Linked DNA regions of Arabidopsis thaliana. The main gene of each other region encodes a partner of the protein of the gene in region 3 in a complex. Each region holds a gene or a part of one and is shown on either strand. Other genes may lie near its edges.

Region 1 (4,001 bases), 1.8 Mb from region 3:
TAACAGTGATGAAAGTTGAGTGTCTTATCTTACACCATTTTAAACTTTTACCTATTATCATCTCTTGTTGTGCTATAGATGATTGGCTTACCAAAAGGTAGGGTAAGGTGAAAAAGGTAAGCTATTTAAATTCGTTTAAGACCAAGTCAGAATCCTCCAACTTGAATGATTTTGGTGGGGTTGCATTTTGGTGAGTGAAGCATCTTTTTCAAACAATGTAGAGGAAATAAAGAGGAGCCAAAAGAACTTGACTTTCTTACTCAGATTAATGGACACTAAGTCATGGATCCAAAGCATATATTATATCTCTATTGTGTGTTAACATGTCTCTTGAGTCTCTAAACTTAGTTTTCTCCAAAGATTAAAGCAAAAGCAAAGATGGGCTTCCTCTGTCACTAGTTTTGCTAACTCATCCTTTTCGGATAGCGACACTCTTCGTTTCCCACTCTTGGTTTGGTGGTTTCTTTAGGATTCTAGATTTTTGTTTTACTTATCTTTCCTTGTACAAGAGACTGTTTCTATAGGATTCTTCATTTCCTGTTTTATCTATCTTCTCTGTGCAACGAGAGTGTCATGGCTACTCTGTCTCAAATCGTCGAGGAGGAACTTGAACCATCACTAAGAAGCAAGCTTTCAAGAACAAGTGAAACCAGTCTCGCTTCTGTCGCATCGTTATCCATGCCACTTGTTCGTTACTCTCTTAACACTTTTGTCTTAGAATGATTCAACTCTGTGGATTCTTTTAATTGATCTTGTGTGTTATCAGATTCAGGAGATTGTTCTATCAGCAGACATCAGATGTAGTGACTGCCAAGAGAAAGTCGCCGACATAATGGCGAGGATGATCGGTGAGTATATAGCTTACTTACTTCCGAGATGAGACACTTTTTTGTTCTTTCCTCTCACGCTTGTTTCCTCTGTTTTCTTGGAGCAGAAACATATTCAATATTGGTGAGTGTGTTGGAGAAGAAAGTGACACTAACGTGTACATATTCCGGTGACCGGAGAGTCTCTAAATCCTATGGTGAAGCTCTTCTCTGCAAAATCTCAACCATCAAGCGTTTGATATGTCCTTCAAGGAAACAATAACTCAGAGTTGCTTGATGTTTGCTTTTATTATCATTTTCTCTTTCCAATAAAATGAATCTTTTATGTCGAATGTGATTGGATATTGTTTAGATAAACAAAAAACTCTCAATAGCAATAATAATCATAGACAAAGTGAATTCTTGAAATGCAGAAATCAAAAAAGAGATTATTGAGAAGTTAAATTGCCGCCACTTTGTTGCCAGAGATTGATGATATCAGTGGCTTGGTTTAGAAGAATGATCATCTTCTTCTGAGAGATCCATGGTTTAGCTTCAAGAGTAGACTTAAGCTCTTCCCAAGCATCTTTCCTAGGCCAGAAGAAGTAAGGACTAAGTGGGATTGTGCCATGTCCAGGTACATGTTGGTCCAATCCTAATCCTATGTTCTTCTCCATCCACACAAACTTGAGTACCACTCTTGATTTCTCATCTGGCTTCACCACCTAACACAAACAACAAAGATTTGTGGGTTTTGTAACACAAGAGACAAGAAGATGAAGAAGAATATGTTGTTTTTACCTTTATTGTTTGTTGTGGAGTGTTGTCGGAAGTATCAATTCCGGTGACTGTTTCAGCGGTGAGTGTCTCTGGAGCTGCTAGAGTTATGATTTTCCGTTTTACAGAGATGGGTTTGGTTGTTTGGGTATGGAACAATGGAGGAGAAGCAGTGATGGAGAGTTTTGGATGTTGAGAGATGAAAGAAGAGCAGAGGGAAGTAGAAGAGAGTGCCATTGATGACATCATTTTTGTGTTTTCTCAGAGAACAATGGAGATTTTGTGAGAATATGGATAAGGAAGATATGGTCACATTTTTGGGTGGAGTTTCAAAGTAGTTTGACTATCAAATTTATGGGCTTTGTTGACTTGGCCCATCATTAAATGGGTCAAGAATACAGAGTTTATTATAAGCCCATGAATACAAACCTGAAGCTTTGAGAAGTAGACTTTTAAAAATACAGACTCTGTTTCAAGTATTTTCGAGGGACTAATTCAAAGATCTCAACATATAAGTATTAATCATATCATATTTAATTCGAATGACATTTGACAGCCACAAGTATTTATACAAAAATTAAAAACCTCATCTTTGTTTAGTGTTCATGATTTGATCAAAGTCAATAAATTTTTTTGTGTGAAATAAATTTTTGTATTAATCAAAACACAATTTTTAACAAAATATAATTATCGATATTGTACGCTGCAAGATGTCCTCAATTTGTTTTATTTATTTATCAAAAACAAATAATTGTTGAGAAAGTGGCCTTTACATTATATATGTCACATGATTCTTTTTACATTATGTCACATGATTCATCTTAAAAAATCGTCTTCTTTATTTTCACAGGTTTGCTGAGGCCAAAGAAGAGTCTTTCTTTGGACTTGAAGTAGCACTGGATAGATGAGATGAGAAAGCCTTTAAGGAGAAAGACACCATGATGGTCATTCATGAACATCATTCGATGAGTATATATAGTAAAAGTTTGAAATACTTCTTACATCGTAGTTATTATATAATGTGCACACGATATTTTTTATTTTCAGCATACAATAATTGGATAAAACAATCAAACTCACCCAAAATACATAAATAATTGTTGTTTCTCAAAAAAAAGTAGGAAAAATCTCATGTGAGGGTGGGTACACTGTGTAGGGTAGGGCTTGGCTTTTGAGCATAGTTAGGAAGTAGTAAGATGCGATGCGGTAGTAAGTAGGAGTTTCAAAATGTCACATTCACACAAGTCACGACCATGAAACTTGTCGTCTCTTTGATACTTGCAACTTCTCCAAAACTGTGGGTCTGTAATTCAATTATTAGAGTCTTGAACTTGAAGAGACTTTAAGATATGTGTGTAAATTTGTTCACCGTCACATTATTGGTCCATTTACATTACACACGTCCACTATAGTTAATTCTCAGGTTGTTTATCCATAGATATCTGTTGTTATTTCTGCGACACTTTTACTGGTCACAATGAATTATGTTGATGTTTAGATTCAACAAAAAAACTTACTAAATCGGGTAACTATGAAAAAATATTATGTAGCTGAGCCAAAAAGGTAAAGTCTACAGTTTAAGAAACATTAACACATTGAACAGAAATTAAGAAATAATATAATTCTATTTTTAATTTTTTTACTGAATAACTAATAGTCACAAAAAATCATATTACGGCCTTACCGGTCCATTTATGCATTACTGGTCCACAAATGTAAATTCTCACGTTTTAAATTCCATCTGTTTCAAAAAATTTGGACACTTTTGGTGGTTAATATGTTAATGATTAGATTTCAACCAAAAACATCAAAGTTATAAATCGGACAATTATTAAAATTTGTAATGTAGATGCACCAAATTGTAAATTTTTTAAAAAAACTTGATTATTTAGAGATGATGAATCGAAGGCATGCATTAATTGCGTAGTACAAAACAAATCTTGATAAATAGATAAATAAACATCTTTCTATTCGTAAGGACGACAAGAATCTCTCAGGTTCTGTAGAATTGTCAGAATCATTTCTAATGGGAGGTAAAATGGGATCAGTACCGGAGCAAAACACAGAGAAGCTTCTCTGGCAGTCAAGCGACGTCGCTGATAGCCGTGACTCCAAGTTCCGGTGTTGCTCGTGGAGGGCTCTCTACGAGGCTCCGGCGAAGTTGTACGCGCTGGGACATTCTGATCGTAGGAAACTTTACTTCTCCATCAAGATGGGAATTGCTTTGGCACTCTGTTCTTTCGTCATCTTTCTCAAAGAGCCGCTTCAAGATGCTAGTAAATTCGCAGTTTGGGCGATTCTCACCGTCGTTCTCATTTTCGAGTATTACGTCGGTATTGATTCTTAACTCATAGCCTAGTTTATGATCCTTTGATTGGATCTTTGAGTTTTGTTTTTATGTTTTGTTGGAATCTTGAA
Region 2 (3,411 bases), on a different chromosome or scaffold from region 3:
CATAGGGGTTACATCTCGTACGAAACTTAAAAGTATACCGCTTCTACGAATAGCTCGTAATGCCGCATCTCTTCCGAGTCCAGGGCCTTTTATCCTTACTTCAGCTCGTTGCATACCTTGATCCACTACTGCTCGAATAGCATTTCCTGCTGCGGTTTGGGCAGCAAAGGGTGTTCCTCTTCTTGTACCCCGGAATCCACAAGTACCTGCGGAGGACCAAGAAATCACCCGACCCCGTACATCTGTAACGGTTACAATGGTATTGTTGAAACTTGCTTGAACATGAATAACTCCCTTTGGTATTCTACGTACATTTTTACGTGAACCACTACGTGTATTTTTACGCGAACCAATTCTTAATATAGGTTTTGCCATTTTTTTTCATTTCACAAGAAATATATGGATATATCCATTTCAGGTCAAAATAGACCCTTTTTTCCAACTCTTTGGAAGTGCCTTTTCTTTTACTTTAGTTCCTTTAGTAAGATTATCCTTGTCTTTGTTTATGCCTCGGGTTGGAACAAATTACTATAATTCGTCCCCTCCTGCGGATTAGTCGACACTTTTCACAAATTTTACGAACGGAAGCCCTTATTTTCATAGTTGTTATTCCTTAATTCTGTGAATATATTTATTGGTGGACGAAAAAAAGGTTTCTTGATATTTTTGAATCTTGAATTGTATCTTCGTGAAAGGAATGGTTGAAATTGAAAAAACACTTACTCATTTGAATACTTATTATGGAGTCTAGAAAATGGCTGTCCCCTTATTAACTTATACTTAAGAACTTACTCAAAATTTTACCTTTTTATCCTATAGGTATACCTATACAAAAATATGTCGAATCCTTTCAGAAGCATGAACGAAAAAAAATCTTTAGTATCTAAACAAAATCGAACCATGCCGTTCGGAAGTGATTAAGAAAGAAAACTTTTATTAATTCATTTTTTCTTTAATTTCATTCGAAGTAAAACATCCGAAACTTTTTTGAACAGGGGTGGTATTACACAACCCCCTTTTTTCACAAATTGTAAGTTACAGATATCTAATTTTTATATTAGAAGGATTACCATATATAACACAAAATTTCTCCGCCGATTCTTTTTAGTCGAGCTTCTCGGTCTGTCATTATACCTTGAGAAGTCGAAAGGATTACAATTCCTATTCCGCCTAAAATTCGTGGAATTCGTTGAGAGTTAGAATAGATTCGTAGACCCGGTCGACTTATTCTCTTTAAATTTAAAATCGTTTTGTAGGATTCTTTCTTATTTCGTCTATGTCTTAGGGTTAAAATCAAAAAATATTGGTTGTTTTCGCGATGTTTCCTTACGTTTTCGATAAAACCCTCTCGTAAAAGGATTTTAACAATACTTTCCGTGATGTTAGTCGATCCTATCCGAACCGTTCCTTTTCTATTCATGTCAGCATTTCGTATAGAGGTTATTATATCAGCAATGGTGTCTTTCCCCATGATAAGTTAAAATTCCTTATTGTTCTATAATTTTGATATAATCAACATGTTCTTTTTCTTTTATTTATATATAGATATAGACGAATTATATATTAATATATGAATTAAATTCTTAATATTTTATTATTAAGGGTATATGCGTGATACAGAATCTATTAATTAATTTTATTTCAATACCTGTTTTTTTAATCCGATACTAACTATCGCTATCGATATTTAGATCTTATAATACCTCAGGAGCTAATGAAACTATTTTAGTAAAGTTTAATTGTCTCAATTCCCGTGGGATCGCCCCAAAAACTCGAGTTCCTTTTGGATTTCCTTCTTGATCAATGACAACTGCGGCATTGTCATCATATCGTATTATCGTCCCATTGTTACGTTTGAGTTCTTTACAAGTACGTACAATTACAGCTCTAATCACTTCTGATCTTTCTAGAGGAGTATTTGGTATTGCTTCTTTGATTACAGCAACAATAACGTCACCAATATGAGCATATCGGCGATTACTAGCTCCTATTATTCGAATACACATCAATTCTCTAGCCCCGCTGTTGTCTGCTACATTCAAATAGGTTTGTGGTTGAATCATATCATTTTTTTTGTATCTCTTCTTTTAATGCAAAGGACGAAGTAAAAAAATATTGTTTGTCAAAAAAAGAAAACTTATAATCTTTTTACCCTTAAATGTTATTTAGTTTTTTCATTATATATTCCTATTCAGAAATAATGAATTGGGTTTTTATAGGCATTTTTGATGCCGCTATTGAAATAGCTTTTCTTGCTATATTTTCGGGTACACCACCCATTTCATAAAGGATTTTACCTGGTTTAACCACAGCTACCCAATACTCAGGGGATCCTTTCCCAGAACCCATACGCGTTTCCGCAGGTCTTACTGTAACTGGTTTGTCTGGAAATATACGTACCCAAATTTTTCCACCACGTCGTACATTTCGTGTCATTGCGCGTCGCCCTGCTTCTATTTGTCTAGATGTGATCCAAGCGGGTTCAAGTGTTTGAAGAGCATATCTGCCAAAACAAATACGATTCCCACGAGAAGATATTCCTTTTAGTCTTCCTCGATGTTGTTTACGAAATCTGGTTCTTTTTGGGTTATAGTTGATGGTTCTAAATTAGAAATTCCATCTCTACTACAGAACTGAACGTGAGAGTTTCTTCTCATCCAGCTCCTCGCGAATAAAAGGACTAAAAAAGCTTGTATTAAGATATAGTTAATGATTAATTCTATTAATCATGATATTCAATTTCATCTGATCTCTTCTAAATTTGTGTATGTCTTTTTCGAAATGGAATCCAAGATTAATTCTATTTATTTAAAAATAACGTAACGTAATATCATCATCTCGAATGTCGTTTTTGTTAGAATATTCTAACAAATCCTTATTTTCTTTTATCTTTTTAATTTTTGTTTTTTATTACTTTTATTAAAAAAAAAGTATTCGCCGGCGAATATTTACTCTTTCAATATCTATATTAAGTTTGTTGTTTATCCCAGGAGATCTCTGAATAAAAATAAGAATAGATAATAATCTGGTTTATTCCGCCATCCTGTCCAATGAATTACTAAGATTTATTTTTCAATAGAATCCTCTATATTCATGGGTTCCGTCGTTCCCATCGCTTCTTGATTAATCATTAGGCCCGAATTCTACAATGGAGCTCTTATATGAAATCGGGAATTTCATTTTTTTTATTTGTTTTTGAGTCAATTTTCTTAGTTTTTATTGGCTCAAGGCTCTTAATTTTTTTTGTTTTCGGAACAGATTTATCTAATTATTCTGAATGAATCTGTATTGATGCTTTATTACATTGCTTTTCTTACAGTGACCTCATAGACTTTCCAAATTGGAATAATATATCATTAATATTCAATTTTTTCTCTCTTTCTTTCATCCTTCCACTGAATCCGCATACTT
Region 3 (5,140 bases):
AGCCCTTTTGCAATACATAAAATTTTTATTAACAGTAACTTGTTTTCCTAGTGGGGACATCTAATCGTGATTATTCTTTCTTTTAATGTTATAATAACTTCCCTAATTTGTTATTTAGCTGTTAATCAATATTTTAACCCCAAGGAGAAGAAATGCTTGCAACGTAAATCCCCACTTGTTTCAAGTTGATGAGTGTTTGGCAATTGACAATTGTGTGTCCCTTGTTCTGTAATGACAATCCTTCCTTCCTTCTTCCATATTTGGACTAGGTTGTTCATCAAAGGAAGGAAGGCCCCGGCTACACTACGTTAGAGGCTCTCCAAATCTGTCCTTTTCATCCACAACTAAACCAAACCCAAATTCAAATAACCAAACTGAACTAAAACATTCCACCGCAAACCAAACCGAAATTGAGTATCCCGGACCACGGTAACTCTGAATTCCAAACTATACCTAGTTTTGAACACCCCTAGAATTATGGACATCATGTTCAAGCAAAGCATCAAAGTGAGGAGGACAGAGTCTCCAATTGAAAACGAGTGAACACTAAACAATAGAATATAACGTAAAAGGATATGGAAAAACAGATTGATATCACAACAAAGTCTCATTGACCCGGAGAAAATACTGAGTCGCTCAATATCGGTCATTACATGATAACAAAGTTTTCTGACCCAGAGATTTCCAGGAACATAACAGAAGAGAAGAGACAAGCAGTGAGAAAAGTCGAATCTTACACGATACGCTCCAGCTCTCTGGCGTAGCTTAGAGTCTGGTTGATGAGTTGCAGAGACGGAATCTCTTTGCACGGTGCAGTTTCTTTGGCTTTCTGGAAGACAACAAACCCTTCCTTCACTTCCCACTCAGGATGCTCCTATAAGATTTGATAAAACCTAAATCGCGTCAATGGTTCATGAAACTAAAAAAGATTCTAAACTTTGCACAAAATGTTTTTTCTCTTACATCTGTGACATAGGTTAAGAGTTCTTGATCAGAAGAGAACAACAACATCTGCCGGGCATCGCTGATAGAGACATAATCATAAGCTTTCTCGCTGCATCCAGCTATTTCATCTCTGTGAATTCAGTCATAACAATAAAAAGGTGAGATAACACGCGAGAAGACATAAGACTGAACTAATTCAGAGAAGGACAGACTCATTGATGCTACCTTATGGTCTTTGCCAAGAGATCCATGAAATAGACGTAAGTTGCATCAGGCGCGGTCTGTCTAGCACTCAACACACGGTTATAGGCACCCTCCATGAAGGATTGCTCAAGCTCTACTGCATGCTTGATGCAAGGATCCTCTAGTGTAGCTGATGAAAGTAATTCAAGCTCGGTGTGGAATTCAGCAATTCTATTTTGTACCAGCAGCCTCAGAAGGTTAAGACCCAGGATAAGATTCTCCTGTGGAGACTGAGGAATACGGTTCCTGGTGCAGAGGAAAAGAAGATATGTTAGACCAAAAGAAAATGAAAAAGATAATGTTCAGACAGTTGGTTCTTTCTTTACCTGGCATCCACATAGTAAGGTTTCAGCTGGAAGAAATCTCTCTCAAAAGCATCTTGATCCTCGGTTTTGACGCTTAGAACAACAGCATGCTCATAAATGTCCCCTAGAATACACCAATTGTCAAAGTTTTAGAAACGGATAATCAATAAGAACAAAAATTACCAATAACTCAATCCAAACCAATGCAGCATTCAACGATTAATGTATACATATAGGGATAGACAGACAAACTAAAGCAGTACAATCCCTCAGACACTCTTCAGTGGTATTTAAGTATAGTTAACAAATAACTCATGAGAATAGACAAATCCAAAACACTCCATGCAATTGAAAGCAAAACTCTAAACTTACTAGCAAATAGCTCATGTAAAACCAATAATGAAAAAGAGAAACTTACTTGCAATAGTCAATTCCTTGGCTGCATTAGGTGAATTCTCGAACAATGGAGGAAGACTTGTGAATTTGGTAAGAAGAACCTGAAGAACACAACAAAACCCCAGCGACATCAGAGACTCGCACCAGTAAATTGTAAATCTAAACCAATCCCAACAATCCCTTAAAGTAGAAAGTTAAAAATTTCATAGCACTTAGCTCTTCTAAAAGATCCTTAACACACTTATATGCTAAAAATTCTCACTTCAATAAATCAAAGCTCTCATAGATTTAAACTCTCGCGACATAACCCATCAATTTTCCCAAAGTTGGTTCAATAAGCAGATATGCAAAGAAGTGAATTGAAACAAATTAGGGTTCAAAGAAGAGAGAGAGATGTAGACCTTAAGCTGAGACAACAGATCGCTACAGGTATTGTAATCCTTCCTCGCAAACGCCGCCTTGAATCTCTCGAACTGCTGTGAAACTTCAGTTAGCTGCGGATCCATCGCTTCTATGGTTTTTTCTCTTCACCGGCGACGATTCTTTTCTTATAGATTTGATTGCTCCGAGAACTGGCTTGATCGCGAAGACAAATAATACAGATAGAAATAATTGTCTTTACAAAACGGGCCTTTAACAGGCCCAATAACCTAAAAAGGCCCATGGTGTACAATAGAATTCTGACTAATGTGTACCATCATCATCTCTTATCCAAATTTTACTCTCTCATCTCCTCTTTGCTTTCACAATCTCACAACAATGGCGTCTTCGCTGTGTGTATCAAATTCCACAATTTGCCCTCTGCCTAATGTATCTTCGCAGCCGCTGCTATCATTCTCCCACTCTCTCAGGCCATTCATTTCCAAGTCGAAACCTATGTGTGCCTCGATACAGAAGAGAGATGGCTCTCAATTTGTGGTGAAATCTCAGGCTCTTGACTTCTCTGGAACTTTCTTTGAAGGTGGATTCGGGTCGGATGATGACCCGACTTCTCCTTCCGGGTCGGGAGTCTCAACTGCCCTTGAAGACAAACCGGAACCTCAGTGCCCACCTGGGCTCAGGCAGTACGAAACAATGGCGGTTTTGAGACCAGACATGTCTGAAGATGAACGGCTTGGTCTTACCCAGAAATACGAAGAGGTAAGTAAAAGTCTCCAACTTTACCTGTTTTCTGTTTCATGTCAGAGGGAAATTTGATTATTTGAGAGAGAAAGAGATTTTAGGATTCAATTAGAAGTTGAGTAAGAGATCACTAAAAGTTGTATCTTGTGTCTGTTCTTACACGTTAATGACAAAGCAAGAGAAAATGGTTTCAATGTAGAGTTGTGTAACTTGCAGCTATCAATTGAATGTTTGTGACGACTCCTTGTTAAAATTGAAGTAAAGAGTTTAACTTTCTAAGAGCAAATCTCATCCTTCTGTGGGCTGTGAATTCTTTAAGTCTCAACCATTTGAAACAAGATAGGAGCCCTTAGTGCACTTCTTAGTTTTTTAGTCATGTTTTACCATAACATTTTAACTCAATTCTTGAAATGTCCTTTGATGCTCGAAACGAGCTAATACACAGTTATCATTTGTGGTTTACGCGTGGGTTCTTTTACGCTATATCACATGTTTAATCTAATGAGGAATTCTGAAATTTATGTTCGGAGTAGTGGAAGTTTTTAGTTGGTGCAGACTCTGAAAGATTCATTATGTTGCTGGGATTTCTTTTTGGTGTGTGTGGCAGTTGCTTGTGGCAGGAGGTGGAATGTATGTGGAAGTGTTTAACAGAGGAGTGATTCCGTTGGCTTACAGCATAAGAAAGAAGAACAAAGCTGGAGAAACCAACACTTACTTGGATGGAATCTACCTTCTCTTCACTTACTTCACCAAACCCGAATCAATAGTTCCACTCGAGACCGTTCTCACTGCCGACGATGACATTATCCGATCATCTTCCTTCAAGATAAAGAAGAGGAAGTACAACTGAAGACCATGAACATTGTGTATGTGAGAAAAATGTCAGATTCTTTTTTTGTTTCTTTGTAAGAACAAAAGTAAATCTATCTTTTTTGTATCTTTTTTTGTGCATTGCTCTGCTTTCTTATGTAACTGTGAGAAACTCTTAAAGCTAAGTTTGAGAAGCATACTTGTATGCATTTTCATTAAAAGATTTTAACTAACACTAACTTGCCATAGTTACTATAATGATGGAATTCATATTACTCTGTTTCATAGCACAAAATCCTCAACGGATGCATAACAATCAAACAAAATAGCAACAAAGAACAAATTTGTAAAGTATTCAGGCAGAAGTGACTTTGTTTGCCAGCTTTTACCTTCTGACGATCCAAACTTAAATTAGTGAGATTGTTGAACTCCTTTACGTAATTGATCAAAACCATCAACATATACGAGTGAGAGACCTTGCAAGCTTAGCATTATAATGGTTCACGTTCATGCTTTAACATTTTATGAAAATCCTAGCATAGTTTCAAATCATTTTCAATTCCACAAAATCAAACGTGTCACATACATATAACAAAACAAACGGGACAAAGTATATTTGACACACCTCTATTTGCTTGTGTAAACTAATAATGTTCTTAATTAACAAAACACACGGGACAACGAATCAATCCATTCTCATTACACTTGACACACCTCTCCCACCTTTCACCTTTGGCCGCCCCAACCGCCGCCACCTTACAGCTTCCGCCGCACTCGAAACAAGGCAACCACCTCGCTCCTCCGCACCCTTCACACGTGAGCCTCCCTTCCTCCCCTACTCTCTCCACACGTGCCCACCGCAACACCCTCCCTAACTTCCCGTTCTCATTCATCGCTGTCACTTCCGCTGCTCCTCCCAAGTACCTCCCTTTCACAAACACTCGCGGCGGCGCCACTGATGCTTCGTCTTGGAGAAGCTCCTTAAGCTCGCTCAAGACTCCGGCGTCTAAAGACACGTCCCTCTCGTCCACCACAACTCCTTGCTGCTCCATGATGGCCCTCACACGCATACAATCCTCGTACGTGCGACGCACTCCTTGCAACGACGTCGTGTAGACAATCAAACCTTCCCCTCCTCCCGGCGGACACTTCTCCGGGAACTCCCTAAGTGGGTCCCAGTTCATCACCGGCTTCTTGTTCCCTTCTTTCTCCCTCCGTTCTCTGTCTCTCTTGACGAATATGTTCTCCTTCACTGACCGAGGCCCCGAGTAGGACGACTGAGTGGACTCGGTTCGATCATCTGACTCGGGTCTTAGCTT

Evidence for each region. Proteins that work in one complex are often made in the same cells at the same time.
Region 1: AT1G64510 (region 3) and PSRP3/1 share a complex: the UniProt entries of both Arabidopsis thaliana proteins name them as parts of the 30S ribosomal subunit.
Region 2: AT1G64510 (region 3) and rps8 share a complex: the UniProt entries of both Arabidopsis thaliana proteins name them as parts of the 30S ribosomal subunit.

The regions. Positions count from the first base shown.
Region 1 is NC_003070.9:25,756,338-25,760,338, forward strand, and holds PSRP3/1 (Ribosomal protein PSRP-3/Ycf65), read right to left. Parts: upstream 2,075-4,001; 5' UTR 1,833-2,074; coding exon 1,608-1,832; intron 1,532-1,607; coding exon 1,256-1,531; 3' UTR 1,090-1,255; downstream 1-1,089. Other genes in the region: AT1G68585 (uncharacterized protein), read left to right, coding at 574-687, 767-848, 935-1,089; AT1G68600 (aluminum activated malate transporter family protein), read left to right, coding at 3,610-3,916. UniProt on the Arabidopsis thaliana protein: Component of the chloroplast ribosome (chloro-ribosome), a dedicated translation machinery responsible for the synthesis of chloroplast genome-encoded proteins, including proteins of the transcription and translation machinery and components of the photosynthetic apparatus.
Region 2 is NC_000932.1:79,002-82,412, forward strand, and holds rps8 (ribosomal protein S8), read right to left. Parts: upstream 1,472-3,411; coding exon 1,067-1,471; downstream 1-1,066. Other genes in the region: rps11 (ribosomal protein S11), read right to left, coding at 1-375; rpl36 (ribosomal protein L36), read right to left, coding at 488-601; rpl14 (ribosomal protein L14), read right to left, coding at 1,695-2,063. UniProt on the Arabidopsis thaliana protein: One of the primary rRNA binding proteins, it binds directly to 16S rRNA central domain where it helps coordinate assembly of the platform of the 30S subunit.
Region 3 is NC_003070.9:23,953,714-23,958,853, reverse strand, and holds AT1G64510 (Translation elongation factor EF1B/ribosomal protein S6 family protein), read left to right. Parts: upstream 1-2,549; 5' UTR 2,550-2,576; coding exon 2,577-3,029; intron 3,030-3,618; coding exon 3,619-3,861; 3' UTR 3,862-4,051; downstream 4,052-5,140. Other genes in the region: RPN12a (regulatory particle non-ATPase 12A), read right to left, coding at 734-874, 964-1,075, 1,171-1,434, 1,515-1,617, 1,912-1,990, 2,291-2,395; AT1G64500 (Glutaredoxin family protein), read right to left, coding at 4,478-5,140. UniProt on the Arabidopsis thaliana protein: Binds together with bS18 to 16S ribosomal RNA.